Stegostoma tigrinum: one gene and its partner. The protein of the gene in region 1 purifies or fractionates together with the protein of each later gene. This does not show direct contact. Links are inferred from orthologs where the notes say so. Each region holds a gene or a part of one and is shown on either strand. Other genes may lie near its edges. The genes, in order: galectin-3-like and solute carrier family 12 member 2.

Region 1 (16,708 bases):
CATTTAATGGGATCATGGCTGATCTGATATTCATCAGGTCCATTTTCTTGCCCTTTCCCCATAATCTTTGATTCCTTTACTGATCAAGAATCTAACACAAGGACTCTGCCCCACAGCTCTCTGAGGCAAGGCGTTCCAAATACTCTCAAACCTCTGAGAGAATTCATCCTCATCTCAGTCTTAAATTGACGCTCCCTTATTCTGAGATTATGCCCCCTGGTCCTAGACTGTCCCATGAGGGAAACATCCTCTCATTATTTAACCTGTCAAGCCCCCTAAGAATCCTACATGTTTCAGTGACGTCACTTCTCATTTTTCTAAAATTCAGATATCAGCATTCTGACCTGTTTAACCTTGGCTCATAAGTCAATCCTGCCATACCACGGATCGTCCTCATGATCCTTCTCTGAACTACTACTGATGAAATGATACATTTCCTTACATAAGGAGACCAATATTGTTCACAGTACTCCAGATGTGGTCTCAAAAGTGCCTTATACAGTTACAGTAAGACGTCCCTACCCTTATACTTCAACCCACTTGAAATAAGGGCCAACACTCTATTGGTCTTCCTGAGTACTTGCTGCACCTGTGTGCTAGCTCTCTGTGTTTCATGTACAAATGCCTCCAAGGCCTCCTTTAACCTTTTTTTCTCCATTTAAATAACATTCAGTTCTTTGGTTCTCCTTTCCAAAATGAACAACTTTGCATTTTTCCACATTAAACTCCACTTGCCAACTTTTTTGCAAGCTTCCTTAATTTATCAATATAACTCCATAAACTGTTTGTGTCCCTCTCACAACCTGCCCTTCCAGCCATTTTTGTCTCATCTCCAAGTGTGGCAACAGTACATTCACTTCCTTCTTCCAAGTCATTAATTTATAATGTAAACAGTTATGGACTCATTGAGTCATACAGCATGAAAACAGATCCTTCGGTCCAACAGTCCATACCGACCATGTTCCCAAACTAAACTAGTCCTACCTGCCTGCATTTGGCTCATATCCCTTCAAGCCTTTCCATTCATTAACTTATCCAAATGTTTTTTTAAATATTGTGACTGTACCTGCATCTCCCACTTTCTCTGGTAGTTCATTCCACGTACGCTTTGTAAAAAAGTTTCCCCTCATGTCCTTTTTAAGTATTTCTCCTCTCATCTTAAAAATATGTCCCCTAGTTTTGAACTCACCCACTCTTGTCATTCACCTTATCTATGCTCCCATAATTTTATAAACCTCAATAAGGTCACCCTTCAACCTCCTAAACTTATTGGCCTTCTTGAACCACTGCCGTTCATTCAGTGTAGGTGCACCCAGAACGTTGTTAGGGAGGGAACTCCAGGATTTTAACCCAGCAACACTGAAGGAGCATACCTCCAAGTAAGGATAGCCAGTGGCCTGAAGGGGAACTTGCAGGCAGTGGTGCTTCTGTGAATTCTAGATGGTCATAACTGTAGGTTTAGAAGGTGTTGTCCAAGATTCCTTGGTAAACTCTTGCAGGGCATCATGCATGCAGCACACACTCCTGACGCTAAGCAAGAACCAAAAGAACTGCGGATGCTGTAAATCAGGAACAAAAACAAAGTTGCTGGAAAAGCTCAGCAGGTCTGGCAGCATCTGTGGAGGAGAAAAAAGAGTTAATGTTTCGGGTCCGGTGACCCTTCCTCAGAATTGACGAAGGGTCACCGGACCCAAAACGTTAACTCTTTTTTTCTCCTCCACAGATGCTGCCAGACCTGCTGGGCTTTTACAGCAACTTTGTTTTTGCTCCTGACACTAAGCATCGGTGTTTGAGGGAGTGGTTTGTGTTTGTGGTGCTAATCAAGCAGACTGCCTTGCCCTGAATGGTGCCAAGCTTCTTGAGTGTTGCTGGAGCTGCACCCATCCAGGCAAACAGGCAGCACTCAATGACACGCCTGACCCATGTGCCATAGATTGTGAACAAGCCTTGGGGGCTCAGGCAGCGAGTTACATGCTGCGATATTCCCAGCCTCTGGGCTGCTCCCACAACCACCGTATCCACAAGGCTAGACTTGCAGGTCAGTGTCTCGTCAATGTTAGCCCCCAGGATGTTGATAGCGGGGAGTTTAGCAATGGTAATACCATCAAATGTCATGATGCAAAAGCCAGATTATCTCTATTAGGGATGGGCATCACCCTAGCAGTTGTGTGGAAAATATATTACCTGGCACCTGTCAGCATGAACATGGATATTGTACATTTGCTGCATTTGGGCCAGGATTGCATTAGCATCTGAAGAGCCACAAACAGTGCTGTACATTGATGACTGCACAATGAACCTCTCCAGTTCTAACCTTATAATGGAGGAAAGCTCGTTGACGAAGCAGCTGATGATAGTTGGGTTCAGGGCACTAGCATGAGGAACTCCTGCAGAGATGCCCTGGAGCTGTTACTCATAAAATAAGAAGTGAACATCTTTGCTGATTACTGCTCAATGTTCAGCACCATTCCCAACTCCCCAAATGCTGAAGTAGTCCATGCCCACATGCAGAAAGACTTGGACAGCAGCCAGGTTTGGGTTGACTACTGGCAAATAACACTAACACCACATTGGCCAGGCAATGACAATCTCCAACAAGAGAGAATCTAACCTTCACCTCACAACAACCAATGGTACTACTACTGCAGAATCCCCCACTATCAAAATTTTGGAAGCTACCATTTAGCCTTATATATATACATACGGCGGTCACAGGAGCAAGCAAGAGGCTGGGAATGCCGCAGCAACTCATCTCTTGATTGCCCGCAGCCTGTCCACCATCTACAAGATACATGTCAAGAGTGTGATGGAAAGTTCCCCACATTCCTGGATGACTGCAGCCCCACCAACACTCACTTGACTCCATCCATGACAAAACAGCCCTCCTGACTGGCATCACATTCACAAAGATCAACTCCCTCCGTCACCGCAGATGCTCAGTAGCAGCAATGTGCAACACCCACAAACTGCACTGCACACATTCACAGCCACCCTCCAGTCAGCACTTTCCGAACCCATGAGAACTACAATGTTAAATGACACAGACTGCAGATACATGGAAACAGCACCACCTGCAAGCTCCCCTCAGCCAAGCTACTGCCCATCCAGATCGGGAAATACATTGCCATTCCCTCATGGTTGTTGGGACACTGCTTCATGCTGCCTCAAAGCAGTCTCACAGTTCTACTTCACTTTCAGACCTGTTCAATATTCTAACAATAAACATTTTCTCTTCCTTTCAGGAATTAAAAAAAAACACAAGCGGCAATAACTCAGAGATATCCACATCCCTCTTCTTCCCTTCCCTTTCCCTCTGACTCCTTTCTTTCTTCTAACCCTACTGCCTGTCAAATATTTGCTATCCCTTTTGATCTTCCACTCTCTGATGCTGAACATTCTATACTTAGCAAAGGTTTTAGTTATATCCTTCTGCACCATAATGAATTTCAGGCAAGACATGACATTGAACTCTTCTTCTTCTTCTTCCACCTCCATGCCCATTTGTTTGGTTAGGAGTGCTCTCCCCATCCCATGGACACCTTCATCCACTTCCAGTACCTCCACCTTAAACCCTCCCTCTGGTCTTTTATATTGACTGATCATTGTGTACACGCTATCGGTTGGCTTAGGTTCTCTGTTCCCTCACCCATATGAACTGATCTCCTTCTGAACTGGCCGCACTCTGTGCTCTCACATTCAATCCTGTCTTTATCATCAAGCCTTCCAACAAGGGTGGTGCTGTTGTTATTGTTTCGTGTACTGACCTCTAGATTACACAAGTTGAGCACCAGCTCTCAGATACCACCTCCTATCTCTTCTGAACAAAACGATGCCACCACCGAGCATCAGGCTATTGTGTCCTCGACGCTTACCAACCTCGCCTCATCTGGGGATCTCCTACCAAAGGCCTTCCAGCTCATAGAATCCCCCACTCTGTACAGCCCGCTTCTACCTTCTCCCCAAAATCCACAAAGCAGGATTGCCTGGGCAGACCCATTATTTCTGTATGCTCCTAGCACATGGAACTTATATCTTCCTATCATTACTCAATTTTTTTCTCTCCTTATCCAATTCTTGTCCACTTACATCCACTATGTTTCTGACACTTCATGCCAGTTTCAACATTTCCAGTTTACGGGCTCTAGCTATCTCTTCTTTACACTTCCATGCCACATCAGCTTGGTCATGGGGCTCTCCACATCTTCCCAAAAGAAGACCTGAGCTATTCCCATTCACTACCACCCTCCTCTGCCTGGCTGAGCTTGTCCTCACTTTGAGAAACTTTTCATTTAACTCCTGTCACTTTATTCAAATCAATGATGTCACTATGGCAATAGGCTGCAATGATGTTAGAGACTGATCTTTCATCCTTGCCTACTTTTAATCTTTACATATGCAATTTAGCTAAAAATGTTATCTCTTTTACTGTCGTTACCTTAAGCACTGTAATAAACAAACCTTTATCTTGTGACAAAGTTGAAGATCGAGGTACTCGCTGAAGAATAATGCCAGAGGATTCCATAGTTTTGGACAAACAGAGGCGAACTGACTACATAAAGCTCGGACAGTATTACAGTCTACTGTATTAGTCATCTGACAAAGGAGCAGTTTTCTGAAAGCTTGTGATTCAAATAAACCTGTTGGACTATAACTCGGTCAAAGAGATAACAAAGTGTGGAGCTGGATGAACACAGCAGGCCAAGCAGCATCTTAGGAGCACAAAAGCTGATGTTTCAGGCCTAGACCATTCATCAGAAAACAGGGATGGGGAAAGGATTCTTAAATAAAGGGAGAGAGGGGGAGGCGGATCAAAGATGGATAGAGGAGAAGATAGGTGGAGAGGAGACTATGGGTTGGGAGGTAGGGACGGGTTAAGTCAGTCCAGGAAGGACGGACAGGTCAAGGGGGCGGGATGAGGTTAGTAAGTAGGAAATGGAGGTGCAGCTTGAGGTGGGAGGAGGAGATAGGTGAGAAGAACAGGTTAGGGAGGCGGGGATGAGTTGGGCTGGTTTTGGATGCAGCGGGGGGAGGGGAGATTTTGAAGCTTGTGAAATCCACATTGATACCATTGAGCTGCAGGGTTCCCAAGCGGAGTATGAGTTGCTGTTCCTGCAACCTTTGGGTGGCATCATTATGGCACTGCAGGAGGCCCATGATGGACATGTCATCTAAAGAATGCGAGGGGGAGTTGAAATGGTTTGCGACTGGGAGGTGCAGTTGTTTATTGTGAACTGAGCGGTGGTGTTCTGCAAAGCGGTCCCCAAGCCTCCGCTTGGTTTCCCCAATGTAGAGGAAGCCACAATGGGTACAGTGGATGCAGTATACCACATTGGCAGATGTGCAGGTGAACATCTGCTTGATGTGGAAAGTCATCTTGGGGCCTGGGATGGGAGTGAGGGAGGAGGTGTGGGGGCAAGTGTAGCATTTCCTGCGGTTGCAGGGGAAAGTGCTCGGTGTGGTGGGATTAGAGGGGAGTGTGGAGCAGACAAGGGAGTCCTGGAGAGAGGGTCTCTCTGGAAGGCAGACAAGGGTGGGGATGGAAAAATGTCTTGGGTGGTGGGGTCGGATTGTAGATGGCAGAAGTGTCGGAGGATGATTTGTTGTATCCAGAGGTTGGTGGGGTGTTATGTGAGGATGAGGGGAATTGTCTTTTGGCTGTTATTGTGGGGACGGGGTGTGAGGGATGAGGTGCGGGAAATGCAGGAGAAATGATGAAGGGCGTTCTCGACCATTGTGGGGGTGGATGTTGTGGCCCTTGAAGAACGAGGACATCTGGGATGTGCGGGAATGGAATGCCTCATCCTGGAGCAGATACAGGGTGGAGGTGAAGAAATTGGGAAAAGTGGATGGAATTTTTGCAGGAAGGTGGGCAGGAGGAGGCGTATTCCAGGTAGCTGTGGGAGTCGGTGGGCTTGAAATGGATATCGGTTTCTAGGTGGGTGCCTGAGATGGAGACAGAGAGGTCCAAGAAGGAGAGGGAGGTTTTGGAGATGGTCCGGGTGAATTGAAGGTTGGGGTGGAAGGTGTTGATGAAGTGGATGAACTGTTTGAGCTCCTCTTGGGAGCACAAGGCGGCGCCGATACAGTCATCAATGTAACGGAGGAAGAGGTGGGGTTTAGGGCCAGTGTAGGTATGGAAGAGGGACTGTTTGTCTGACTTCTGACTTTGTCCACCCCAGACCAACACTGGCACCTCCACATCATACTATTTTATTCACAATTTATATTCTTGCAGCCAGAATTAACGTGTGACTAATATACCTAACAAAAAAAACTGTGTAAGTATTCCACAAAGCATATCAAATAGCAAATGTTGTCAAGGTAGATTTCCCAGCAATGACACCTAGATGTCTGTGACAGTGTGGATTGTCAAATCTGAATTAACTTTACAATAAACTTCAATTTCTTCTCTTTTGATGAACTAGCTTTGCAGCCCCCGATAAAGGAATTTCAGCACTTACCAGAACAAGTAGTGAAGTGTGTGGCATGAGCTAGAAAACCTAAAATTTTAAAAACTGGAACAAAATCTCAGAGGTATGAGGCAGGCCTGTTAACCAATTCATCTTGTCACTCAGTGACTACCTCTGCTTCTGGGGACTGGCACGTACGATTCTATCCTGCGTTACTATTCCAAGAGTTGTGTCTGATAGCATACCTTTTCACAAGATGGGTTTGGTAACAGTCATTTATGCACGGGTGTCTCTTCACTCTTGTTGTCCATACCTATCTTTTTTGACAAGTAGAACTCATACTCTAGTGGTATTAAACATGTTTTGTCTCACAATAAATGCCTGCTTAAGCAAATCCTCCTGATTTTCTATCATTTTTCCAATTAACAGATTTTATATAGCTATGTGAAATTAACAGAGGGCTTCAGAACTAAATACATAGATCATATTGGATGTATTGGTCAAGGTTATTGGTGAAAAACTGAAAAAAAATTTCAAAGGTTCATGGCAACTATCACCAAGAACATAAAAATGGATTGAATTTTCAAATTCAATTAAACAAATTACTATGTTAAAAATTAAACTCTGTTCAATCTACAAAGTGTGCTTTGTTGATGCCCACAGGACCAGATACATTTGCAACATGGAGAAATGGAACTCTTTTATGCTTACATTAAAAGGAAAAAGCTGGACCTAAAAGGTGAAAGACTTTTACTGCATTCACAGCACTGAAATGACCTTAACAAACAGCCGATAAGAATATTAAATGGCTTTCATTATCGAATGAAGAGGAAGATCTAAGAACAGAAATAAGGTAAGCAATGGCAAAGGAAAGCTACATTGAAAAGGCTGGGGAGAAAGTATAACCTGAATGATTTTTAAAAAAACAAGATGTGAGAATGGTGAGAGATAGAGAAAAAATGAAGACTTTGATGGACAGTGTCTGGTGAAGCAAAACAAATGAGGCTGACAGAGATCATGGTAAAGTGACTGAAAAGCAATGATAGGTATTTCTTATACTCATTGAACTGCAAAATACTTCAGATGCATGCGCAATCAATATCTGTCACTTCATTGTTGCTACCCACTACGGGTACCAAAGTGGTGCTGTTCCTCACACATCTGCCAGGGTTCACAATTAAATCATAAAAGGAACAAGAACATTCAGCAGCTCACGTATTTCCTTCACAACTATGCTACCACGTAAAATGGATGGTGGTGAATCACAGTCTATTTTACATTTTTCTCAGTTTTCATTTTCATTGAAAATAATAATTGAAGATTGTACTGGAACCAATCTTTACAGTTTTGTATTTTTAAAGTTACTTCTTTCAAGTAGACACTCTAAACTAATTAACAGTTTCTGTTGTGACTAAGCTAAGTGAACATCTCTGGAGATAAATTCACGTATTTACCTAGAAAAGGGATTTTAATACGGGGAGGGGAGCACATTTTAAGATGAGAGGAGAAAGATATATAGTGATATTGGGGACAAAATTTTAATACAGGGGTTTGCGTGTGGAATGAACCTCCTGAGAAAGTGATGGATGTTGGTACAATTACAATATTTACAAGACATTTGGATAAGTACATGAATAAGAAAGATTTGTGGGAAGATGGACGAGGAGCAGGCAGGTGGGACTACTTTAGTTTGGGATTATGTTAAGCACGGACTAGTTGGACCCAAGGGTCTGTTGGCGTGCCGTATGACTTTAAATGGGGAGGATAAAGCAATGGGGCCGAGAAGATTGAGTTACCGCTGTGCTGTGCATTATAGTTTCTAACTCAAACGTTACGAGTAAAAGATCATTTTTCTAGTCTGCCTTTTAAACAAGGCCAACAGTATTGGGTTGGCTTTAATGTAAAGAATGCAAAGAAAATAATAATCAAGGAAGCAATATGACAAGCGCAATATGATGTCCATTTCCAAAATTCGATCGCAGCGTTCTCAGCAGTATGTAGCGGCTCCCCGCATCCAACTTGCATTCCGCAGTCACTTTTTTTATCCAAGTTACAAACTTCACACAAAGTGTTGAGAAGAGATAGTAGGAACTGCCGATCAGCATTAGAGGAGCAGGAAAGTTTGACATTTCGCGTCGAGACCGTTCATCAGAAAATTAGAAAAAAATTAGACCCGAAACGTCAAACTTTCCTGCTCCTCTGATGTTCATCCAGCTTCACACCGTGTTATCTCAAAGTCTTGAGAATATCAGGTGAAATATGACGATACGAACGTCGGGAGGTTATTTCATTTGAACCATGTCAGTAACACTTCTGCGCGGTTTAATTCCAAACTGGGGCATGTCTAAACGGGGTTGTGCAGCCACGCCCAGGGAAAGGCGCTGCAGTGAACCTCCCAGGGCGTTGGTTGGAGAACTAAAAATCTCACATCACAGGCTGGTGTTAAACCGGGAAATCAGGTCAGCCGTCAGGCTGGGGTCTCAGCCCGGTGCACTGCGGATTCAGGAAGGGCCGAAATCAGGCCGCGTGTTGGGGGTCACTGCGCCCAGGGATCGGGTCGGGAATTGGGGGTCACTGCGCCCAGGGATCGGGCCGGGTATTGGGGATCACTGCGCTCAGGGATCGGGCCGGGAATTGGGGGTCACTGCGCTCAGGGATCGGGCCGGGTATTGGGGATCACTGCGCTCAGGGATCGGGCCGGGTATTGGGGATCACTGCGCTCAGGGATCGGGCCGGGTATTGGGGTCACTGGGACTGGGTGATCGGGCCGGGTACTGGGGATCACTGCGCTCAGGGATCGGGCCGGGTATTGGGGATCACTGCGCTCAGGGATCGGGCCGGGTATTGGGGTCACTGGGACTGGGTGATCGGGCCGGGTACTGGGGTCACTGTGAGTGGGGAATCGGGCCGGGTACTGGGGTTTTTTAGGGGAGAGCCTCGGGCTGAGTACTTGGGTGGTTACAAGAGGGGGACGAAGTCTCTGGCCGAGTACTGGGGTCTATTTTTGTGTGGGGGCGGGGGGGGGGAGAGTGGAAGAATGGCGATCACTCGGCTATTGGGGTCTCCGGTGGGGAAACTAGCGAAACTTTCGGAGACTGGGCAGCGCTGCGTCCCGATTATCCGCAGCTCGGGTTTCCTGCAGTTTCCATGCAGATAGAAAACAACAAAAGTGTGGAGCTGGATGAACACAGCAGGCCAAGCAGCATCTCAGGAGCACAAAAGCTGCTGCTGCTTGGCCTGCTGTGTTCATCCAGCCCCACAGTGTTGTCTCGGGTTCTCCAGCATCTGCAGTTCCCATTATCTCCATGCAGATAGAAACCTGTTTATCCAGGTTTTTTTGCGGTCTCAGGGCGGGCGTTTCTTCACTTACTCACTCCTTTCTCAGTCGCCATTTGCTAAACCCACGCGTTTTCCATTTCAGAAACGTTTCTCCTTCAGCAGAATCATGGTAAGAAATGTTAGAATCTTTTTGTTGTGTAGGTAGCATCGCACCGATATGTACATTTTTTAAGCATCTGGTGAATGAGCCCTGGTGTTAAATTACAGCACTGCCTTCACCCCGAGTATTTTTGCCGGGGGTTGGTGGTGTAGCTTGTATATTTGAAAGTATTTTTGTTGGCAATGTTCATCATATCAGGATGTCCAAAACTGCACGATATCTAATTGAGTTATTTCAGAGTGCCGTCACTGTTACCATTATAGGACTGAAGATTTTTACATTGACAAATTGTAGAGTGAAGTTTGGCATTTAATGGGAATACCGCAAAAACATGTTAATTACTAGAGACGTGAAATTAAAACAAAAGTAGATAATGCTGGTAACACTCAGCATCTGTAAGGAAAACAGCCAGAAAGTTTGTTTATGTTTAAAGCCTGGGATTGATGTTACAACAGTTCTGTAATTGTTTCTAGCAGTTTTTAAAACATTACCAGTGTCTTGTTGCGAGAAACTGATGGTTGTTCTCTGAATCATTGACTTGAGGTGAGATCTACATGGGTGGTCCAGACCGCAGTTTCATAGAGATTTATCCCACCAAGATATTTTTAAAATATAAGCTTGGGGAAATGTGTCCATGAATACTGATACTCCCCAGCAACTGAAAGACAGACCTTTTCAATGTTTTATTTTATATTCAAGCAACTGTACAAGCATAACAACAAGTATTACAAAAAAGAAATCCACATCTTTACCACTCATATCTGTGTTAGAACAAATGCTGTGAATTGTCAGTCTGAAGTTACCTCCTCAGATTACAGTTTTCTCACCACTGCTGAAACTTGTACTCTGTTCTATCAGAGATAATGGGAACTGCAGATGCTGGAGAATCTGACATAATAAAGTGTGGAGCTGGATGAACACAGCAGGCCAAGCAGCATTTCAGGAGCACAAAAGCTGACGTTTCGGGCCTAGACCCTTCATCTGATGGGTCTGCTTGGCCTGCTGTGTTCATCCAGCTCCACACTTTGTTATCTCTGTTCCGTCATAAGGCGTTTAGAGTGCAGGGAGTTATTTCTCTTAAACTTGTTGCCTTTCGTAAGTAACTGCAGGTGCATTTCTGTTTCTATAGAATGCATTTTCTTAGCTCAGTTGCTAATAATTTTCATTTTGAAAAAGGTAGCCACAAACCACTAGGTGCAGTGCAGTTTTACAGTGTTGACGTTTACAGTGACGTTTATCACACATATTCTCGCTCTTTGGGACTGTCTGCATTCCAGCAGAGTTAAAGGGATTTGTTTAGTGAATAGCTCCTGTTATTGTACATTAGTTAGCACTTCATATTCTCCAGGTCTGTTTGACTTTTGACATCAGTTTAGTTAAATTTAATTTTATTTCATTTCCTGCAGCAAACTTACATGGCAGATATTACCTTATAATGCAAAATGTTTTGTAGAATTGTAGAAACTTACAGCTCATAAGGATAGAAACATCGAAAATAGATGCTGGAGTAGGCCATTCGGCCCTTTGTACCTGCATCACCATTCAATATAGTCATGGCTGATCATGTGATTTCAGTGTCTCACTCCTCCTGCTTTCTCTCCATACCCCTTGATCCCTTTAGCCATAAGGGCCAAGTCCTGAACCCCATGAATATATCTAACAAACTGGCCCCAACAGCTTTCTGTGGTAGAGACTTCCACAGGTTCACTGCTCTGAGTGAAAAAAATCTTCCTCATCTCAGTCCTGAATGGCTTACCCCTGTGAGGCCTAGTTCTGGACTTTCCCAAAATTGGGAACATTCTTCACGCGTCTAGCCTGTCCAGTCCCATTGGGACTTTGTATGTTTGTATGAGAGCCGCCTTCATGCTTCTGAATTCCAGTGAGTATAAGACCAGTCGATCCAGTCTTTTTTCATATGCCTGACCTGCCATCCCGGGAATCAGTCTGGTGAACCTTCACTGGACTCCCGCAATAGTAAGAACGTCCTTCCTCAGACTAGGAGGCCAAACCTACTCACAGTACTCGAGGTGCAGCCTCACCAAAGGCCCCATATAACTGTAGCAAGACATCCCCGCAGCAAGACATCCCTTCTCCTATACTCAAATCCCTTTACAATGAAGGCCATGAAGCCATTAGCTTTCCTCATGGCCTGCTGCACCTGCATGCCAGCCTTCAGCAACTGTTGCACCGTAACACCCAGGTCTCATTGCACCTCACCTTTTCCTAAAAGCCACCATTCAACTAATAATCTGCCATCCTGTTTTTGTGACATCACAGTATTCCATATTAACATTGCATTTATCAAATATTTGCCCTCTCGAACAGTCTGTCCAAATCACTCTGCATCCTCCTCACAGCACATTCTGCCACCCAGTTTAGTGTCATCTGCAAATTTGGAGACATTGCATTCAATTCCTTCATCTGAAGCGTTAACATATATTGTGAACAGCTGCGGTCCCAGCATTCAACCATTCTGAAAAGGTCCCGTTTATTCCAACATTCTGCTTCCTGTCTGCCAACCAGTTCTCTATCCACATCAAAACATTACCTCCGATACCATGAGCTTTAATTTTCCTTACTAATCTCTTGTGTGGACCTTGTCAAAAGCCCTTTGAAAGCCCAGATACACAACATCCACTGATTCATCTTTGTCCACACTACTGGTCATATCCTCAAAAAATTCCAGAAGATTTGTCAAGCATGATTTCCCTTTAGTGAATCCATGCTGTCTTTGACCGATCTTGTCACTGCTTGCTAAATTATTACATCCTTAACAATTGACTCTAGCGTTGTCCCACCACTCTTGTCAGGGTAACCAGCCTATAACTCCCCATTTCCCTCCCTCCTTTTTAAAAAGTGGGGTTACATTAGCTACCCTCCAGCCATGCGGACTTATTGAGTTTTGATCCCGTTATTTTCCCCAATACTATTTCCTGACTGGTAAGGATTTCCTCATGTTCCTCCTTCATGCTTGACCCTCTGTCCCCTTGCATTTCCAGTTTGACCCATCATGTCAGTGCTGGCCTTTCGAAAGGTTGTGCTTAGTTCTACATCCTGCTATTTATTTGTGACCCTGAAAGTTCCTCACTGTTAAGTACCTTTTTAAAATATAATTTGTAAAATCATCTTACAGTTCCATTTCAGAGACAGCATTCCAATGGCAACAATGCTATGTGAAAATTAACTCCTGTTTTCACTTCATATGTTTCCCCAATGATTTTGAATCTATAACTTGTAAATATTAATTCCCTCAGCAGAGACATTTCCCCACCTAGCTTTTGAATATCAAAAGCTCCCTAGCTTCAAACTCCTACTTATGTCAGCATCTAACCTAAGATAATAAAATGTGAGGCTGGATGAACACAGCAGGCCAAGCAGCATCTCAGGAGCACAAAAGCTGACGTTTCGGGCCTAGACTCTTCATCAGAGAGGTGGATGGGGTGAGGGTTCTGGATTAAATAGGGAGAGAGGGGGAGGCGGACCGAAGATGGAGAGAAAAGAAGATAGGTGGAGAGAGTGTAGGTGGGGAGGTAGGGAGGGGATAGGTCAGTCCAGGGAAGACGGACAGGTCAAGGAGGTGGGATGAGGTTGGTAGGTACGAGATGGGGGTGCGGCTTGGGGTGGGAGGAAGGGATGGGGTGAGAGGAAGAACAGGTTAGGGAGGCAGATACAGGTTGGACTGGTTTTGGGATGCTGTGGGTGGAGGGGAAGAGCTGGGCTGGTTTAGGGATGCGGTGGGGGAAGGGGAGATTTTGAAGCTGGTGAAGTCCACATTGATGCCATTAGGCTTCAGGGTTCCCAGGCAGAATATGAGTTGCTGTTCCTGCAACCTTCGGGTGGCATCATTGTGGCACTGCTGGAGGCCCATGATGGACATGTCATCTAAAGAATGGGAGGGGGAGTGGAAATGGTTTGCGACTGGGAGGTGTAGTTGTTTGTTGCGAACCAAGCGGAGGTGTTCTGCAAAGTGGTCCCCAAGCCTCCGCTTGGTTTCCCCAATGTAGAGAAAGCCACACCGGGTACAGTGGATGCAGTATACCACATTGGCAGATGTGCAGGTGAACCTCTGCTTAATGTGGAATGCCATCTTGGGGCCTGGGATAGGGGTGAGGGAGGAGGTGTGGGGGCAAGTGTAGCATTTCCTGTGGTTGCAGGGGAAGGTGCCGGGTGTGGTGGGGTTGGAGGGCAGTGTGGAGCGAACAAGGGAGTCACGGAGAGCGTGGTCTCTCCGGAAAGCAGACAGGGGTGGGGATGGAAAAATGTCTTCGGTGGTGGGGTCGGATTGTAGATGGCGGAAGTGTCGGAGGATGATGCGTTGTATCCGGAGGTTGGTGGGGTGATGTGTGAGAACGAGGGGGATCCTCTTTGGGCGGTTGTGGCGGGGGCAGGGTGTGAGGGATGTGTTGCGGGAAATGCGGGAGACGCGGTCAAGGGCGTTCTCGATCACTGTGGGGGGAAAGTTGCGGTCCTTGAAGAACTTGGACATCTGGGATGTGCGGGAGTGGAACGTCTTATCGTGGGAGCAGATGTGGCGGAGGCGGAGGAATTGGGAATAGGGGATGGAATTTTTGCAGGAGGGTGGGTGGGAGGAGGTGTATTCTATGTAGCTGTGGGAGTCGGTGGGCTTGAAATGGACATCAGTTACAAGCTGGTTGCCTGAGATGGAGACTGAGAGATCCAGGAAGGTGAGGGATGTGCTGGAGATGGTCCAGGTGAACTGAAGGTTGGGGTGGAAGGTGTTGGTGAAGTGGATGAACTGTTCGAGCTCCTCTGGGGAGCAAGAGGCGGCGCCGATACAGTCATCAATGTACCGGAGGAAGCGGTGGGGTTTGGGCCCTGTGTAGGTGCGGAAGAGGGACTGTTCCACGTAACCTACAAAGAGGCAGGCCTAGCTGGGGCCCATGTGGGTGCCCATGGCCACCCCCTTAGTCTGTAGGAAGTGGAAGGAGTCGAAAGAGAAGTTGTTGAGGGTGAGGATGAGTTCGTCTAGGCGGATGAGGGTGTCGGTGGATGGGGACTGGTCGGGCCTGCGGGACAGGAAGAAGCGGAGGGCCTTGTGGCCATCTGCATGCGGAATGCAGGCGTATAGGGACTGGACGTCCATGGTGAAAATGAGGTGTTGGGGGCCAGGGAATTGGAAGTCCTGGAGGAGGTGGAGGGCGTGGGTGGTGTCATGGACGTAGGTAGGGAGTTCCTGGACCAAAGGGGAGAAAATGGAGTCCAGATAGGTGGAGATGAGTTCTGTGGGGCAGGAGCAGGCTGAGACGATGGGTCGACCAGGGCAGGCAGGTTTGTGGATTTTAGGAAGGAGATAGAAACGGGCCATGCGGGTTTCGGGAACAATGAGGTTGGAGGCTGTGGGTGGGAGGTCCCCTGAGGTGATGAGGTCATGAATGGTGTTGGAGATGATGGTTGGTGCTCGGGTGTGGGGTCATGATCGAGGGGGCGGTATCCCTCACACCCTGCCCCCGCCACAACCGCCCAAAGAGGATCCCCCTCGTTCTCACACACCACCCCACCAACCTCCAGATACAACGCATCATCCTCCGACACTTCCGCCATCTACAATCCGACCCCACCACCCAAGACATTTTTCCATCCCCACCCCTGTCTGCTTTCCGGAGAGACCACTCTCTCCGTGACTCCCTTGTTCGCTCCACACTGCCCTCCAACCCCACCACACCCAGCACCTTCCCCTGCAACCGCAGGAAATGCTACACTTGCCCCCACACCTCCTCCCTCACCCCTATCCCAGGCCCCAAGATGGCATTCCACATTAAGCAGAGGTTCACCTGCACATCTGCCAATGTGGTATACTGCATCCACTGTACCCGGTGTGGCTTCCGCTACATTGGGGAAACCAAGCGGAGGCTTGGGGACCGCTTTGCAGAACACCTCTGCTTGGTTCGCAACAAACAACTACACCTCCCAGTCGAAAACCATTTCCACTCCCCCTCCCATTCTTTAGATGACATGTCCATCATGGGCCTCCTGCAGTGCCACAATGATGCCACCCGAAGGTTGCAGGAACAGCAACTCATATTCCGCTTGGGAACCCTGCAGCCTAATGGCATCAATGTGGACTTCACCAGCTTCAAAATCTCCCCTTCCCCCGCCGCATCCCAAAACCAGCCCAGTTCGTCCCCTCCCCCCACTGCACCACACACCCAGCCCAGCTCTTCCCCTCGACCCACTGCATCCCAAAACCAATCCAACCTGTCTCTGCCTCCCTAACCTGTTCTTCCTCTCACCCCATCCCTTCCTCCCACCCCAAGCCGCACCCCCATCTCCTACTTACTAACCTCATCCCACCTCCTTGACCTGTCCGTCTTCCCTGGACTGACCTATCCCCTCCCTACCTCCCCACCTATACTCTCTCCACCTATCTTCTTTTCTCTCCATCTTCGGTCCGCCTCCCCCTCTCTCGCTATTTATTCCAGAACCCTCACCCCATCCCCCTCTCTGATGAAGAGTCTAGGCCCGAAACGTCAGCTTTTGTGCTCCTGAGATGCTGCTTGGCCTGCTGTGTTCGCCCAGCCTCACATTTTATTATCTTGGATTCTCCAGCATCTGCAGTTCCCATTATCTCATCATCTAACCTTCTGTGTTTCCAGGAATGAAGTCCTAACTTCCACAACCCCTCATCCTCAGTAGTATCCTAGTAAACCTCCTCTACGCTTATTCGCTTTCTAAAGTGTACTGCCTGGAATTGCTACAGTTTGGCAGCAAAGGTTAAACCTAACTTATTCAAATGTATAACATCCTGAAGGGGCCTTCCAGGGTGGGTTTTTTCCTTTGGCAGGCGAATGTAAACACAGGGACACAATTTCATCTTTGTGTTTCCCACATTTCTCAGTAA
Region 2 (16,706 bases), on another chromosome or scaffold:
ATTTAGAGGGATATGGCCCAAATGCTGGCAAATGGGACTAGATTTACTTTAGGATATCTGGTTAGCATTGGGTTGGACCAAAGGGTCTGTTTCTGTGCTGTAGCGCTCTGACTCTAAGCATTTCTTGAATGCATCTGAAGTTTAGACCTTCTGAATTTCACGCTGTTTGCATTGTGATGTTTTTCTAACACGATCCAAGCTTATCTTTGTCAGTTTTAGCAGATTGCTCTTTTCTGGTTATTTTACATTTTTGGGATTAAATTTATTTGTACCAATCAATATTTCACTCTCGTATCATTTCTGTTTCTGACACAACTTCCTCTTTTTCATGACTACAGGATTTCATGTTAAACCATTTCTGATATGCCAGTTCTTTACCATCCAGACCAGTCTTTTATCTCTGTACTGCCTGGCTTGAATATTTCTGCAGCATGCAGTTCCCACAAACAGCTAATTTTACAACTTTCATGCAAAATCTTAATCATTCTACTTTGTAATGTTTTGTCTTTAATTTATTTTAGAAACATAAGCTGATTGCCTCCTTGATTTCAACACCTATCACCCCCAGTAAAATCTGATATTGGTAAAGTTGCATGTTTGTTTTCATCCTTTTTTTTTAACGTAGATTCAGCATTTTGGGCATGAACATTCTAATCTATCTGATACTGCTTGCTTGAAAACTGCCTGCTGTCAGCTTCCCCACAACTATTCCTGTTGCTGATTGTGCTTCAGCTTCATCGCAATGCAAATAAGTTGTAGCTGAACTTTATTCTCCACACCAGTCCCTTTTTTTGTAGCCTTTTTATTTTTTATCAAAACCTCTTGGAAGTTGAAAGATTCTAATTTGCGGATTTGTCTCTTTTTGTCATGAAGTGAAGAGAAAAAGAAACCTACAGCACAGGAACAGGCCCTTCGGCCCTCCAAGCTTGTGCTGATCAAGTTCCTCTGTCTAACCTGTCATCTATTTTCTAACGGTCTGTGCCCATTTGCTCCCTGCCCATCCATGTACCTGTCCAAATATATCTTAAGACACTAACGTGTCTGCGTCTACCACCTCTGCTGGCAACGTGTTCCAGGCAGCCACCACCCTCTGTGTAAAGAACTTTCCACGCATATCTCCGCTAAACTTTCCTCCTCTCACTTTGAACTCATGACCCCTAGTAATTGAGTCCCCCACTTGGGTGGCAGGGGGAAGCTTTTTGCTATCCACCCTGTCTATACCCCTCATGATTTTGTAGACCTCAATCAGGTCCCCCCTCAATCTCTGTCTTTCTAATGAAAATAATCCTAATCTATTCAACCTCTCTGCATAGCTAGCACCCTCCATACCAGGCAACATCCTGGTGAACCTCCTCTGCGCCCTCTCTAAAGCATCCACATCGTTTTGGTAATGTGGCGACCAGAACTGTACACAGTACTCCAAATGTGGCCGAGCCAAAGTCCTATACAACTGTAACATGACCTGCCAACTCCTGTAGTCAATACCCTGCCCAATGAAGGAAAGCATGCCATATGCCTTTTTGACCACCCTATTGACCTGCGTCATCTGTTCAGTTAAAAATGGGACTTTTAGGTCCAATTCCCTTTAAATCTCACTGTGTATTTGTTTGATTTTGACTTCTTTAGAGGGGAGGGTTTGGCTTAGCTGTTCTATCACTGGCCTGTTAATCCAGAGACCCAGGGAATGTTCTAGGGATAACACGGTGTGAAGCTGGATGAACACAGCAGGCCAAGCAGCATCTGAGAAGCAGGAAAGTTTGACGTTTTGGGGTGATGAAGGGTCTCGACCCGAAATATCAAACCTTCCTGCTCCTCTGCTGCTTGGTCTACTGTGGTCATCCAGCTTCACGCTGTTATCTCATTCTCCAGCATCAGTGGTTCCTACTACCTCTGTAACAACATTCTAGGGAACTAGGTTTGAATCCCACTATGGCAGATTGGGATTTTAAATTTATAATAAATATATGGAATGAAGAGTCTGATGACCAATCCACTGACTTTTTTTTTTTCAGAACAACCCACCTGGTTCACTGGAACCAAAGGGGAAGGAAACTGCCATCCTTACCTGGTGTTGCCCACACATGACTCCAGACCCACAACAATGTGGTTGACTCTTCTGTCTTGGGATGGACTAGACCTAGCCAGCAACTCCCTCATCATGTGAATGAATTCAAAAAAAATCTGTTCCTAATTTTTTTGATTAGCATATGTACTTTACTTAATTTATTCACTTTGAGGGATGTGGGCATCGCTGGCTGGGCCAGCATTTATTGCTCATCCCTGTTGCCCTTGAAGGTGGTGATGAGCTACCTTCATGAACCGCTGCAGTCCACCTGCTGTTGGCTTACCCACAATGCCCGTGTACTGTTTGGTGACCTGCTGTAAATCCTGACCTGCTATATCTGGAGTCCTAACGAATGTTAAAGACTTTATGGAATGGACAGTGCTCCAATTAACTTTGCTTTCTATCAACATTGGTCTGAAAATCTTGTTCGGATTTCTGTAAAAAGCATTAATTATTTACTACAACTAATAAGACTCGGGCTCCGGGTCAGCCAATATAAACCATCATGAACTAAAACTGTATTCCCATCATGAACACGCTGCCTACCTCTGGCCAACTTGCTTAGATACTTGAACCAATGTTCTGCTTGTTGGGATGCAAAAAAAGGTTTCTGCCATTGGTCTGTGGCTAGTGATAGTCATCAATCAACCTGTATTGATGCATCTCTGTGCAGCACACCAACCCTGCTACCTCCCCCCCCCCCCCCCCCCCCAGCTTCATATCTTGTGCAATCTGAACTTCAATTACTGCTTAATCAGTAGTTGCTTGTTAGCTGCTGTCATTGGCAGAGACTTCCCCTCAGAACTGCAGCCACTGTTTTGAAACAGCAATTTGTTTTTGTACTCTCTTTAAACTCTTTTTAGCGCTTGCTCATTTCAGCCCCCAATTTTTAAACACCTAGGCAGTCCTTCTATCGCACGGTGAGTTTTACATTTTTGTGGATGCTCCTCTTTCTTCTAGTTTGACTACATTTGCCTTGCTTCCAATTCTAACTTTCCAACGCTGACTCCAACATGATCGCAATTTTCATTCTCTGGTTGGTTTTGTTAGCCTGGGGTAACTGCTGTCTATTTTTGTGGATTTCTTAATTTTGATCTCTATTTAAGTTCCAGCTCATTCACTTCATCCTCATGTTGGAGCTGCTATCACTTAAAAGGTGCTGTGTATTCTAGTTAAGATAACAGGGTGTACAGCTCTGAACACAGAAGGCCAAGCAGCATCAGAGTAGCAGGAAGGCTGATGTTTCGGGCCTGGACCCTCCTTCAGAAAATGGGGAGGTTTAGGGGGTTCTGTAATAAATTAGGGAGAGAGTGGGGGGTGGACAGAAGATGGATAGGTGGAGAGGAGACAAACAGGTCAAAGATGTGGGGATGCAGCCAGTGAAGGTGAATGTAGGTGGGGAGGGGATATGTCAGTCTGGGGAGGATGGACAGGCCAAGGGGACGGGATGAGGCTAGTAGGGGGCTGGGTCTTGAGGTGGGAGGAGGGGATAGGTGGGAGGCAGGCGGGGACAAGCTGGGGTGGTTTTGAGATGCGATTGGGGAAGGGGAGATTTGAAGCTTGTGAAGTTCACATTGATACCATTTGGGCTGCAGGGTTCCCAAGCAGAATATGAGTTGTTGTTCCTGCAACCTTCGGGTGGCATCATTATGGCACTGCAGGAGGCCCATGATGGACATGTCGTCTGAGGAATGCGAGGGGGAGTTGAAATGGTTCACGGGTATCCTATTTTCTAGCTTCTGTCAGGCTCAATCACCTATTTTAAGAACTTTTCCTTTCTTGAAACAATTATGCATTGCATTTGGCAATTATGCTCAGATTGATTTCCTTTTGTATAAAATTCCCCAATAAATCAAGTCCTCATTTTTTTTTACATCTAACTTAAACCTAATGTTTTGCCTTCAATCTTCCTCTCTAAGGTGGCAGTTCACATTAAGGCCATTTCTTTTATAACTTTAGAAACCATGGTTCAATTACTTCACTGAGCAACTTTCTTTCCTTTCAGCCTAGAGTTCTTAAAAACCCTTCAGCTATGTCTCTTAGAGAACTGCATACTAACAATCTAATTTTATTCTTCCTAAACATTCTGTACACCTTCTCTAGGGTAGTTAAGGAAGTGTGGCAAATACTCTCCTTACCACTACTGAATTTTCAAAATTTTTCTTGTTAAGTTCCACATGATGAAATAATCGTAGAATATTTCTAATGCACCATAACTTGATTAGTTCGTGTTTTTTCGCAATTTTGGGTGCTTTCAGTTATTCATTCAATTATAACTCCTAATTAGATTGTAAACAATTGTTTGTCATTGATCTACAGTTGACTTAATAAAGACCCCAAAGTTGTTAGAATTGTGGCAATTTAGCTGTGATTCTAAATTACTTATTTAAGAAGCAGTTATCACTTACAATTGAAATTTTAAAAATAATTTGTTTATGCAGTGTTAGTTTTAAATGCTGCAGAAGTTATAACGCTTTCACCATCAAAAGGATCTGGTGATAGAAGAAATATTGTATGTATCCAAGTCTGTTTGGAGTGGGAAATGTTCCGATTTTTGATTCTTTTTGAAACTTGAATTCAAATATAGAGAAGCTGAATTGCAGGGTTAAAGGTTAGATTTTTAAAAATTATCTTTGAAAAGCTGGTTTATTGCACAGGGACAAAAATGTCAAGATGAGTGTTTGTTTGGATCCTGCAGTTCTTTTTGGATGTGCTATTTAAATTATGATCTCGAGCATCAATTCTCTAGAACAATTGGTTTGTCCTAGGTTTGTTTTGGTGCACACCCATATGAGCAGGAAGTGGAAATGTAAATTTTTCCAAAAGCATTGTTTGGCAAAATTCTTATGCTTTCTGAGGGGACAGCTTAGTACTATGTATGTGTTTGTTTGTGTATGTTAGTGTAAATGTTATTTTCTTTTGCCTTGAAGGAAATATTTGTTAAGATTTTCCTTTTCAAAAAGGAAAATTTAAGAAAATCCTTATTAGAACCCCTGATGCAATTTAAATTTTATCTCATGCTTTATAAATACAAAATAAACTCTTAAATCTGAGCTGTCTTTTACTGGTTCACTTTAGGCATGCTTTTGGTGATAGTGCAGTTAAATTATAGCACATCTTAAAAAGCAGTATTCCCTATTAACCGCCTCAACCTCTCCACCCCTCTCACCCACTCCAACCTCTCCCCCGCAGAACGGGCAGCCCTCCGCTCCCTCCGCTCCAACCCCAACCTCACCATCAAACCCGCAGACAAGGGTGGCGCAGTGGTAGTATGGCGTGCTGACCTCTACATCGCCGAGGCCAGACGCCAACTCTCCGACACCACCTCCTACCGCCTCCTCGATCATGACCCCACACCCGAGCACCAAACCATCATCTCCAACACCATTCATGACCTCATCACCTCAGGGGACCTCCCACCCACAGCCTCCAACCTCATTGTTCCCCAACCCCGCACGGCCCGTTTCTATCTCCTTCCCAAAATCCACAAACCTGCCTGCCCTGGTCGACCCATCGTCTCAGCCTGCTCCTGCCCCACCGAACTCACCTCCACCTATCTGGACTCCATTTTCTCCCCTTTGGTCCAGGAACTCCCCACCTATGTCCGTGACACCACCCACGCCCTCCACCTCCTCCAGGACTTCCAATTCCCTGGCCCCCAACACCTCATATTCACCATGGACGTCCAGTCCCTGTACACCTGCATTCCGCATGGAGATGGCCTCAAGGCCCTCCGCTTCTTCCTGTCCCGCAGGCCCGACCAGGCCCCCTCCACCGACACTCTCATCCGCCTAGCGGAACTCGTCCTCACACTCAACAACTTCTCTTTTGACTCCTCCCACTTCCTACAGACTAAGGGGGTGGCCATGGGCACCCGCATGGGCCCCAGCTATGCCTGCCTCTTTGTAGGTTACGTGGAACAGTCCATCTTCCGCACCTACACAGGCCCCAAACCCCACCTCTTCCTCCGGTACATTGATGACTGTATCGGCGCCGCCTCTTGCTCCCCAGAGGAGCTCGAACAGTTCATCCACTTCACCAACACCTTCCACCCCAACCTTCAGTTCACCTGGGCCATCTCCAGCACATCCCTCACCTTCCTGGACCTCTCAGTCTCCATCTCAGGCAACCAGCTTGTAACTGATGTCCATTTCAAGCCCACCGACTCCCACAGCTACCTAGAATACACCTCCTCCCACCCACCCTCCTGCAAAAATTCCATCCCCTATTCCCAATTCCTCCGCCTCCGCCGCATCTGCTCCCACGATAAGACATTCCACTCCCGCACATCCCAGATGTCCAAGTTCTTTAAGGACCGCAACTTCCCCCCCACGGTGATTGAGAACGCCCTTGACCGCGTCTCCCGCATTTCCCGCGACACATCCCTCACACCCCGCCCCCGCCACAACCGCCCCAAGAGGATCCCCCTCGTTCTCACACACCACCCTACCAACCTCCGGATACAACGCATTATCCTCCGACACTTCCGCCATTTACAATCCGACCCCACCACCCAAGACATTTTTCCATCCCCACCCCTGTCTGCTTTCCGGAGAGACCACTCTCTGTGACTCCCTTGTTCGCTCCACACTGCCCTCCAACCCCACCACACCCGGCACCTTCCCCTGCAACCGCAGGAAATGCCACACTTTTCCCCACACCTCCTCCCTCACCCCCATCCCAGGCCCCAAGATGACATTCCACATTAAGCAGAGGTTCACCTGCACATCTGCCAATGTGGTATACTGCATCCACTGTACCCGGTGCGGCTTTCTCTACATTGGGGAAACCAAGCGGAGGCTTGGGGACCGCTTTGCAGAACACCTCCGCTCAGTTCGCAACAAACAACTGCACCTCCCAGTCGCAAACCATTTCCACTCCCCCTCCCATTCTCTTGATGACATGTCCATCATGGGCCTCCTGCACTGCCACAATGATGCCACCCGAAGGTTGCAGGAACAGCAACTCATATTCCGCCTGGGAACCCTGCAGCCATATGGTATCAATGTGGACTTCACCAGTTTCAAAATCTCCCCTTCCCCCACTGCATCCCTAAACCAGCCCAGTTCATCCCCTCCCCCCACTGCACCACACAACCAGCCCAGCTCTTCCCCCCCACCCACTGCATCCCAAAACCAGTCCAACCTGTCTCTGCCTCCCTAACCGGTTCTTCCTCTCACCCATCCCTTCCTCCCACCCCAAGCCGCACCCCCAGCTACCTACTAACCTCATCCCACCTCCTTGACCTGTCCGTCTTCCCTGGACTGACCTATCCCCTCCCTACCTCCCCACCTACACCCTCTCCACCTATCTTCTTTACTCTCCATCTTCGGTCCGCCTCCCCCTCTCTCCCTATTTATTCCAGTTCCCTCCCCCCATCCCCCTCTCTGATGAAGGGTCTAGGCCCGAAACGTCAGCTTTTGTGCTCCTGAGATGCTGCTTGGCCTGCTGTGTTCATCCAGCCTCACATTTTATTATCTTGGAATCTCCAGCATCTGCAGTTCCCATTATCTCTATTCCCTATTTTAGTTTATTGCTGATGGAAATACCTAGATATCACTGTTGTAGAAAGTAACGTGCTAACTCCTTTTGTTTGTTATGCAGTTAATTTTTCACAGGTGCTGCAGGTGACATCTGATTTTTAACCTGGGTCTTGTTTGTACTCATTGTGTAATTAAAAAAAAAATCTGGCTGTTGGGTTATGATTTTACCGTGTGCAGGGTATGATGACTTATGAAACCAACAATGTTTTTTTTGCATATTGGAATGCTGGTAATCTCTTTGGAAGCCTTGAAGACTTGTTTAGAAAAGTGGCAACACTTATCATAAGTGACAGCCTGCATCCATATCTTTTGCTTACCTCCTTCTCCTCCTCTCCTCTTCCCCCCCCCCCCCACCCCCCACACATAAGCACTCCCTTTGTCTTTCACTCCAAGCAACCTTTTTAACATTTTGTTCCATTCAGTCCTCTTGCTCCACTATTTTCTTGAGAGTTGGGGGTGGTGGCGATTGGGTTAGGTGGTGAAACAATCATTTTCCAGCCCTCTTCTAAAGATATCAAATTGAGCTTAAAACATTAACTTTTCTGCCCTTTGCAGATGCTGCCAGATCTATTGAGTTTCTCTCTCTTTTTTAAATATTTTATAATTTTAATATTTCCACTTAGTTTTTGAATCAGAGTTAGGGTACAGAACAGGTCCTTTGAGTCTGAGATAACCAGGTGTAGAGCTGGATGAACACAGCAGGCCGAGGAGCAGGAAAGCTGACGTTTAGGGCCTAGACCCTTCAGAATATATAAATATACAAAAAAATGAATTTTCTGAAGAATGGCCTAGACCCGAAACATCAGCTTTCCTGCTCCTCTGACGCTGCTTGGCCTGCTGTGTTCATCCAGCTGTACACCTTGTTATCTCAGGAACTGCAGGTGCTGGAGAATCTATCATCTCCCTCCTTTTTAAGTCTGTACTGCCAAAAATATACTACTGCCTGCATAGCCCCACCTTCTCTCACTAGGCTGGTAGCCTTGATGAACACTTAATGTGTCATAACACCCAAGTACACTTTTAAAGATTTGAGGTTTCTCGTTTTGACTACCCTCCCTGGCAGTGCATTCCATATCCCCACCATCCTCGGATGGAAAATTGTTTCCTGAAATCTCCTTTTAAACTGCTCGTCTTTTTCAGTTGTTAAAAATTGTTTCCTTGTCTTTGACACTTTTTTGACTAACGGCAACAGTTGCTTTCTATCCACCCTGTCCATGCCCCTCATCATCTCATACACCTCGACCAGGTCCCCTACAGCCTTCTCTGCTCCAAAGAAAACAAGCTGTGCTTATCCAGCTGCACTTCATAGCTGAAATACCCTCTTTCCCCCTCTCCCACCCATCTCTATGTAATTCTGTTGATATGTCCTGGTCTATTTGTGTTTATCCCCTTTTTTTCTTTAAATGCATAATAGTTATTGTTCAAGATCAGATTGCTGCAGATGCTATGTTATCTTTTTGAGGGTTCATTTGGAATTGGGAAGTTCTGATTGTGTGTATAAATGTGCGCCTGTCTCTTTAAACCTTGATTTATTTACAGCCCTGCTGTGCTTGTACCTACTTGTTTAAGGAATCCAAAAGTAGTTTGATTGCCCTACTACAGTCCTGTATCTTCCTTTTGCGTCAACTTTGCTTCCAGTTTGAAACCAATAGCCTGTCTCCACTGCTCCCAATAACAAATCTTCCCACATTGATAAATGTGGAATTGTTTATTTGTAATCCTCCTAACTGTCCATAGTTTTTAATTGATGAGATCACAATGGAGTTTCCCATGTGAAACGGTAGTCTTTCCCCGGTTTGCTCTGTCAGACTTAACCAATTTCAAAATTCTCCTAGCTTTCTCTACCAAGCTGAAAAATTCCTTTAATATTCTTAACTGATTCATTTACAACCTGAACTGCTAACATTACTCCTTTTTTATTTCTTTTGTTTCCTATCTAACAACTAATTTTCTATTTATACTTTTATTCTGTTATACCTGAAACTTTGAAGCCTCCTATGAAATTCCTTTTTTAGAAAGCCTCTGACAGTCCAAAGACACTACGTCTGTAATCCTAAAATATGCATTACTCATCTCTCGAAAAACCTCAGACTTTAGAATCGTGACTTGCTTTTGTGAAATATGCACTTGGTTATTTGATTCATTGATCTCGTTACGGATTGAGAGTTTGGCCTTGGCAGTTAGTTGGCTAATGGATCTTTAGTTGCCAAGTTTAATTCTGTATGTTTTTATGAAGTGGCTGCCTCAGCTATAAACTGATTTTGTTGGGAAATCTAGTTCCTTCCCATTCTGTCTATATGTTAACTCTGAAACAACACCATAATATCCTGTTTACCAGAACACAACATTGGTTAATAGAGCTGGCTTGAGAAATGGTTTATTCTTGCATTGTTTCTTTTTTTTTGTTCTTTTCATTAACTTCAACCTAATAACACAGGTGATATATTGCACAATGCAGTTTTTCTTTGAACTTGGAATGCAGTAGGTAATGGTTATCTTGTTAGGTAAATCTGAAATAACTTCCTAAATTGTGTATGATTTGAAGTAAGAAGTTATAAGATTAAAACCTTTTTTGATTTTGTTTTGCAGGAGCCTTTTGAGGATGGTTACGCAAATGGAGAGGAAGCCAGCCCAGCTGAAGAGGCTGTGTCAAAGCATGTTGTTGACAGTAAAGGTGTTGTGAAGTTTGGCTGGGTTAAAGGTGTTCTGGTAAGTTAGTTGCTAGCTTTTGGCTTTCAGTAGATAAGCTGATATTTAGTCATCAGCTTTGAACTTTTTCTGGGGCAACATGCTGTCTTGGTGGTTAGCACTGCTGCCTCAAGGCACCATGGACCCAGGTTTGGTCCTAGACTGGGGCATGTGCGCGAACTCCACACAGACATCTCCTCCTCTTCTTCACCACCACCACCACTCTCTTCTCTCCTCCCCCCCCCGGCCAGGTGTATGGGTGCTCCAAGTTTCTTCCCATAGTCCAACAATTTACAAGTTAGATGGATTGGCTGTGGCAAATTGCCCATTGTGTCCAGGAATGTGCAAGCTAAATGGTTAGCCATGGGAAATGTAGGGGAATGAGTGTGGGTGGCCTGATCTCTTGAGGGTCAGTCTGGACTTGATGGCCCAAATGGTCTGTTTCCACACTGTGTATGGATTCAGTGGTTCTATGAACTTTGAAGCTGTTACTTTTAATTTTGTGGAGCTTTTTAGAAAACTTTTGATTCTTGGGTTGGTACAACTTTGAACAACACCTTTCTTTCATCCCAAAGTGGGCAGTGTCCAGCAAATGTCTCATTTTATATGGCTTTGTGAAAGTAGATTTCTTTTTGCAGGACTGAATTTCTAGACTTTGAATGTACAATAACCACCTCTGCATCTCATTTAGCTCCATGATAAAATTCAGTACTGATATTCAGGCAAAATTGTTGCTTTATGTTGACAACTTGGCCCTAATTCATAGATCCCGGTTCCAACTCTCATGCTGTGACTGTATGGAAAAAGAGACGCAGACTTTTTTTGTTCCCCACCCCATCCCCAAAGTGGTGGTGCTTCTTGCTTTTACAGTTAATGTTACTGTTCATCACTGTTCCAACGTTCCTGCAAATAACACTTACTGACTGCACTCTTGATACACTCCTTTTGAAGGAAAAATGCATGCAAGTAAGCTGACTTTTTAAACTTACAAAGTCAGTTTATTTTGATATAAAATTGAGATCTAATGGGAATATTCCTGATTTACAGCATCCGCAGTTCTTTTGTTTTTTATTAGAAATCTAATGGGCATTGACTGTGTGAAAATTCTCTTTCTTAGACTTTATTTAAGAAGTCCATGACAAATTGTGAGCAATTTGCAGACTAAAAGTTGGACAACAGGAAAATAATGAAGCAGCTTCAATTTGAGTTGATTCCCTGTTTAATATGATAATCAGCCTGCAGTAATGCAAATCTCATCAAATTATTGTGGTTCTGAATGTATTATGGAATTTTGAGAGATTTTCAGGCTGTTGATTTGAAAGACCCATAACAAATGGTTTAATAATCTGAATTACTTTATTATGTGATACTTGTAAATTGAAATTGCTGCATGCAATAAAGGTGCTGTAGCATGCATTTTGGGGAAGTTGGTGTGGGTAGGTGTGCACATCTCACTACTGCCTGTTTTAACGTGACCAGACAGAGCAGAGTACAGGTCCCATCCCTCCCCATGTACACCTTTTTTGATTTTAAAGTTCGCAATGATGCCTTTTACAATTGTTTAATCACAAGGCTTTTCCTGCATCGCAGATCTTCTAGGCATCACTACTGACCCCAGACTGAGGGCCATTTCCCAACTGTTCTTATAAAGCAAAAGCATTCAACTGACAAAAATATGCTTTGTTGGGTGGAGGGGGGTGGTGTGGGGGAGTGCTTTATACACTTTATTTCAGAGCTCCCTCCCCCCCCCCCCCCATTTCTGAAGAAGGGTCCCGGACCGTGATGTCAGCTTTCCTGCACCTCGGATGTTGCCTGGCCTGCTGTGTTCCTCCAGCTCCACACTGTTATTTCTTTATACTGAAGTTTTTTTTTGTGTATAAGTGAGGCACTATTGGACCCATGGTACCCCATGGCACTTGGTCAATAGTCCATCATTAACTACCTTGTCCTTTCTCTCATTCCTTACAAATCTTCCTTTTGAAAACTTGAAATACCACCTGCACCCTCCGCTCATCACATTAAATCCTTCCATGTGAAGACGCAGACAAGTGAAGTTGTCATCGGCTTACTGGACCGTAAGGCTACCTTGACACAAGCACAACTAGTGATGGTTTGACCAGAGGGGCGAGTTTGAGAAGGCAGGTCTTTCATGGCAACCTCGGCCAGTGCAAGAATTGATCTTGCTCTAACATTTATTCTTTGTTGTAATCCAGCTATCTGAGCTATTTGTTGCATCTGCCCATTGCAGTATTGGTTGGAGGGACTGTGACAGTACGGGTGAAGTCTAATCTTTGCTGATATATGGCACTGAAACCAATGAAGAACAACACCTTTGTCAATGGGATGGATTTCAGATGAGTCTAGCAACTCTACTTGATGCCAATTAGGTTATGTTGATCATGAACAGCATGTATTCAACCACAGTCTGTACCCTCATGGCGTGGCATGTTCTCCATTTCCCTGTTACTGTCCAGGCCCACTTCGGGAATGACATCAGGTTTTCCTAACTGAGTGCGCCACTAAGTGAAACTACAGCAGGGGGCTTCCTGCATGCTGAACATTGGCAACAGTGTGTGATAGTTGGGGCTAGGTGATCCCACTGCCAGTGGATCAGATCTAAACTCTGTAATCCTGCCACTTCTGATCGTGAATGGTGGACAATGAAATAACTAATGGAAGCAGGCTCAAATATTTATCTTTTCCCAGATGAATGTGCACTGTGAGCTAGGCCAGCACTTGTTACTGTCTCTAGAGCTATTGAGGATGGGCAGTAGTGAGCAACCTCCCTGGACTGCAGCGCTTGTGGTGTGTCGGTACATCCACAGTGCAGTTGAGAAGGAAGTTCCCTGATTTTGACCGGGTGGCAGTGAAGGAACAGTGATTACGGTTCCAAGTCCGGCTTGGTTTATAATTTGGAGAATTTGCAGGTGGTGCACTACTTAGGAAGTACAGGTCATGGGTTTGGAAGGTGATATTGGGGGGACTTTGAGTTAGTGTAAAGTTATTTTGTAGATGGTAGATGCTGTTGCTGCTGCAGCACTGGCAAAGGTATTGAATGTTGAAAGTGGTGGATGAGGTGTCAGTCAGTCAGGCTGCTTTGTTCTGGAGGGTGTCTAGCTGCTTTTTAGAGCTGTTACTCAACTTGGAAACTGGGGAGCATTTCGTCACAGTCCTAATTTGTGCCGTTGTGGTTGCTGGACACATTGGGCAGTCAGAAGGTGAGTTATTCATTGCAGAATTACTACCTTCTGTCCTGTGACAACAGTATTGATAAGGCGAGTCCAGTTCAGTTTCTGGTAGATGAGAATATCTGGGATGTTGATAATGGGGGACTCAGTAATGGTAATACCTTTTAAAGGGGTGATGGTTAGTTTCCCACGTTGGTGATGCTTATTGCCTGGCACACACCTGGCCAGAATGTTGCCTGACAAATGTTCCAGTCCTTTATCTTCTGAACACTGCAACACCTTATCACCCTTTCATTAACAAAATGAAACCAGAGGCATATACAGGGTCAAGTGTGATAACAATTCACAAATGGTATTGGACCATCTGACCAAAAGCTCAGCACATAAGTTTTATGGAGGAGCAAGACGACAACTCTGGAAAGGGTAGGTCCACTCCATGACAAAGGAAGGAATTTGTGTGGAGCCAGAGGAAATGGGTGAGTTCCTTTTTAATGAGTACTTATCCTTCTCCTTGGCGTATACCAGTGCCATGATGGTAAGATTAGGAGGAGTGTGTTTTTATATTAAAGGGCATGTCAGTATTAGGAAGGAGGATGTGTTGTGTTTTGAAAAAATCTGAAGTAGCTAAGTCTCCAGGGCTTGATAAGATCTATCCCGGCACACTAGGGAGGCAAGGGAGGAGTTTGCTGGAGCCTTGGCAGAGATCTTTTGTATTCCCTTTAAACATGTGTCCTAGGGGACTGTTGAGTAGCCAGTGTCCATCCTTTGTACAAAGGCAACAGGGATAATCGAGGCAACTATAGGCTGGTGAGATTTACATCAGTTGTAGGTTCATTAGAAAATTGAGAAAATTGTTAGGAACAGGATTGACTCGCATTTGGAAAAGAAAGGACTTGAGTGATAGCCAGCATGGGATGTCTTGTGTCTCAAATTTGATTGTTCCCTTTGAGGAAGTGATACAGAAGAATGAGAGTAGGGCAGTGGATGTTGTCTGAGTTTTAATAAAGCATTTGAAAAGGTCCCTCATGGTAGGCTGCTTCACAAGATTAAATTAATAGGATCAACCCACGTGGGTAAATCGGGTACGAAATTGAGAGGGTAGTTGTGGAAGGGTGTCTTTCTGAATGGACGTCTGTGAGCAGAGGGGAATGTAGCTCATTGGACTAATAAGTTTACAGATGACCTGAAAATTGGTGGAGTTGTAGATAGTGAGGAAGGTTGTCAAAGAATACAGCAGGTATAGATCAATTGGAAATTTGGGCAGAGGAGTTTAACCTGAACAAGTGAGGTGATGCATTTTGGGAGGTCAAATACAAGATGAAAGTATACATTAAATGGCTGGACTCTTGGCCAAATGCAGGAAAATGGAACTAGTTTAGTTTTGGGAAACTTGGCACGAACAAGTTGTACCAAAGAGTCACAGCATGGGAAGAGATCCTATGATTTGGGGTGGAAGTCCTTCATTCCATGAAAGTGGTAACAAGTGGATGTGGTGTAGAAGAGGGTGTATAACATGCTCCTTATCATTGGTCAGGGCATGGAATATAAAAGTTAGCAACTGGTTGTAACTGTATGAAACTGAGTTGGGTGACGTTTTGGAGCATTGTGCGTCGTTCTGGTTGCCCCACTTACAGGCAGAATGTGAAGGCTTTGGAGAAGCCGCAAAAGGTTTATCAGGATGTTGCCTGGTCAGATTCTATTAGCTCTAAGGAGAAGTTGGATTGTTTCTCCAGAACATTGAAGGCTGGCAGGAAGGTGTTGTCCAGCTTAAAGTATATAAAAATTCAGTGGCATGGATAGGGTGGATAATTGGAGTCTTTCTCCCAGCCAGGGTGGAAATGTCAAATACGAGGGGCAAATGTTGAATATGGCTGGGGTGGGAACGGAGTTCAAAGGAGATTTTTAAGAGGACGATAGGTGCTTGGAATATGCTGCTGGGGAGGTGGTGGTGGTAGTACGTATGATATCAATGTTTAGGAGACATTTGGATTGGTAGGGATTAGAGAGAGAGAGAGAGATATGGACCATGTGTAGCCCGATGTGCTTGGTTCAGAATGGCATCATAGTCAGTGCAGATGTGGTAGGCCAAAGGGCTTGTTTCTGTGCTGTACTGTTGATGTTTTTCTTGAAAAGTAGAAAGTGAGGTGGACATCTGCAAGTGAGATTCTAAGGCTCAGGCAATTGAAGTCCCGATCACCAAAGGTTGTGCAATTAAGATTTGGGAATGCGTAACTAATAACAGCAATACTGTTGAGCTGTATCGCCTTTAAACATGATTCTGAAGAAACTTAAACAACTATTTGGTTATACTTAATTTGCTGCCTGCTTGGCTGTCAATGTTAATTGCTAAGAATTTGGAATATGCAATTATCAGTCGTCTTTATTTGTGCTGTCTTGGAATCTTTTCCAATCCACTAGGTACGATGTATGCTAAATATTTGGGGTGTGATGCTCTTCATCCGTTTAACATGGATTGTTGGCCACGCTGGAATAGGTATGTGGAAAACCTCAACTTATTCTACTGATGAAAGTCAATAGATTGAAATGTTAGCATTTTAAGTGTTATTTTCACCTTTGTGTTAAATGATTCTGTCATTTACAGTAGTGTGTTAAATGCAACATATGGGTTGTCTTCTGTCCTCATCTTTAATTAAATGCTAGGTGTTGAAGTTGAGCAGCTTTTGTTCACAATTGACCATGAAATACTTAAACTCCTGCTATAGCTAGCTATAAATTAACTTCCATGGGAGCATTGTTAAAATTTCAGTAAACCTTTCCCAATTATGCCACAGTTTTTCAGGAAACTTGACTTAATCAACTAACTTAGTGAAATGCCCATCCATGGAGGGGGCAGGTGATGGCCTAGTGGTATTACCACTGACTGTTAACCCTGAGATCCAGATAATGTTCTAGGGACCTGGGTTTGAATCCCACCTCAACAGATGGTGGAATTTGAACTCCATTAATATCTGGAATTAAGAGTCTAATGATGACCATGAATCCATTGTTGATTTGTTGGAAAAACTCATCTGGTTCACTAATACCCTTCAGGGAAGGAAACTACCATTCTTACCTGGTCTGGCCTACATGTGACTCCAGATCCATAGCAGTGTTGGTTAACTCTAAACTGCCCTCTGGGTAATTAGGGATTGTCAATAAATGCTGCCTGGCGAGCAACGCTATCATTCTGTGAATGAATAAAGAAAAAAAAAATGTAATGCT

Evidence for each region.
Region 2: the proteins of galectin-3-like (region 1) and solute carrier family 12 member 2 purify together in Homo sapiens (affinity purification with mass spectrometry; 3 studies listed by BioGRID and IntAct, counting the BioPlex papers as one, with this or other methods). This does not show direct contact. The link is inferred for Stegostoma tigrinum from reciprocal best matches to the Homo sapiens genes LGALS3 and SLC12A2.

What each region holds. Positions count from the first base shown.
Region 1 is NC_081363.1:47,872,238-47,888,945, forward strand, and holds the start of galectin-3-like, read left to right. Parts: upstream 1-8,761; 5' UTR 8,762-8,869; intron 8,870-9,780; exon of another isoform or gene 9,781-9,784; coding exon of another isoform or gene 9,785-9,802; exon of another isoform or gene 9,803-9,831; 5' UTR 9,832-9,855; coding exon of another isoform or gene 9,856-9,858; exon of another isoform or gene 9,859-10,010; intron 10,011-16,708. UniProt on the Homo sapiens protein: Galactose-specific lectin which binds IgE. May mediate with the alpha-3, beta-1 integrin the stimulation by CSPG4 of endothelial cells migration.
Region 2 is NC_081356.1:2,365,894-2,382,599, reverse strand, and holds the start of solute carrier family 12 member 2, read left to right. Parts: upstream 1-10,197; 5' UTR 10,198-10,317; intron 10,318-15,902; 5' UTR 15,903-15,911; coding exon 15,912-15,978; intron 15,979-16,706. UniProt on the Homo sapiens protein: Cation-chloride cotransporter which mediates the electroneutral transport of chloride, potassium and/or sodium ions across the membrane. Plays a vital role in the regulation of ionic balance and cell volume.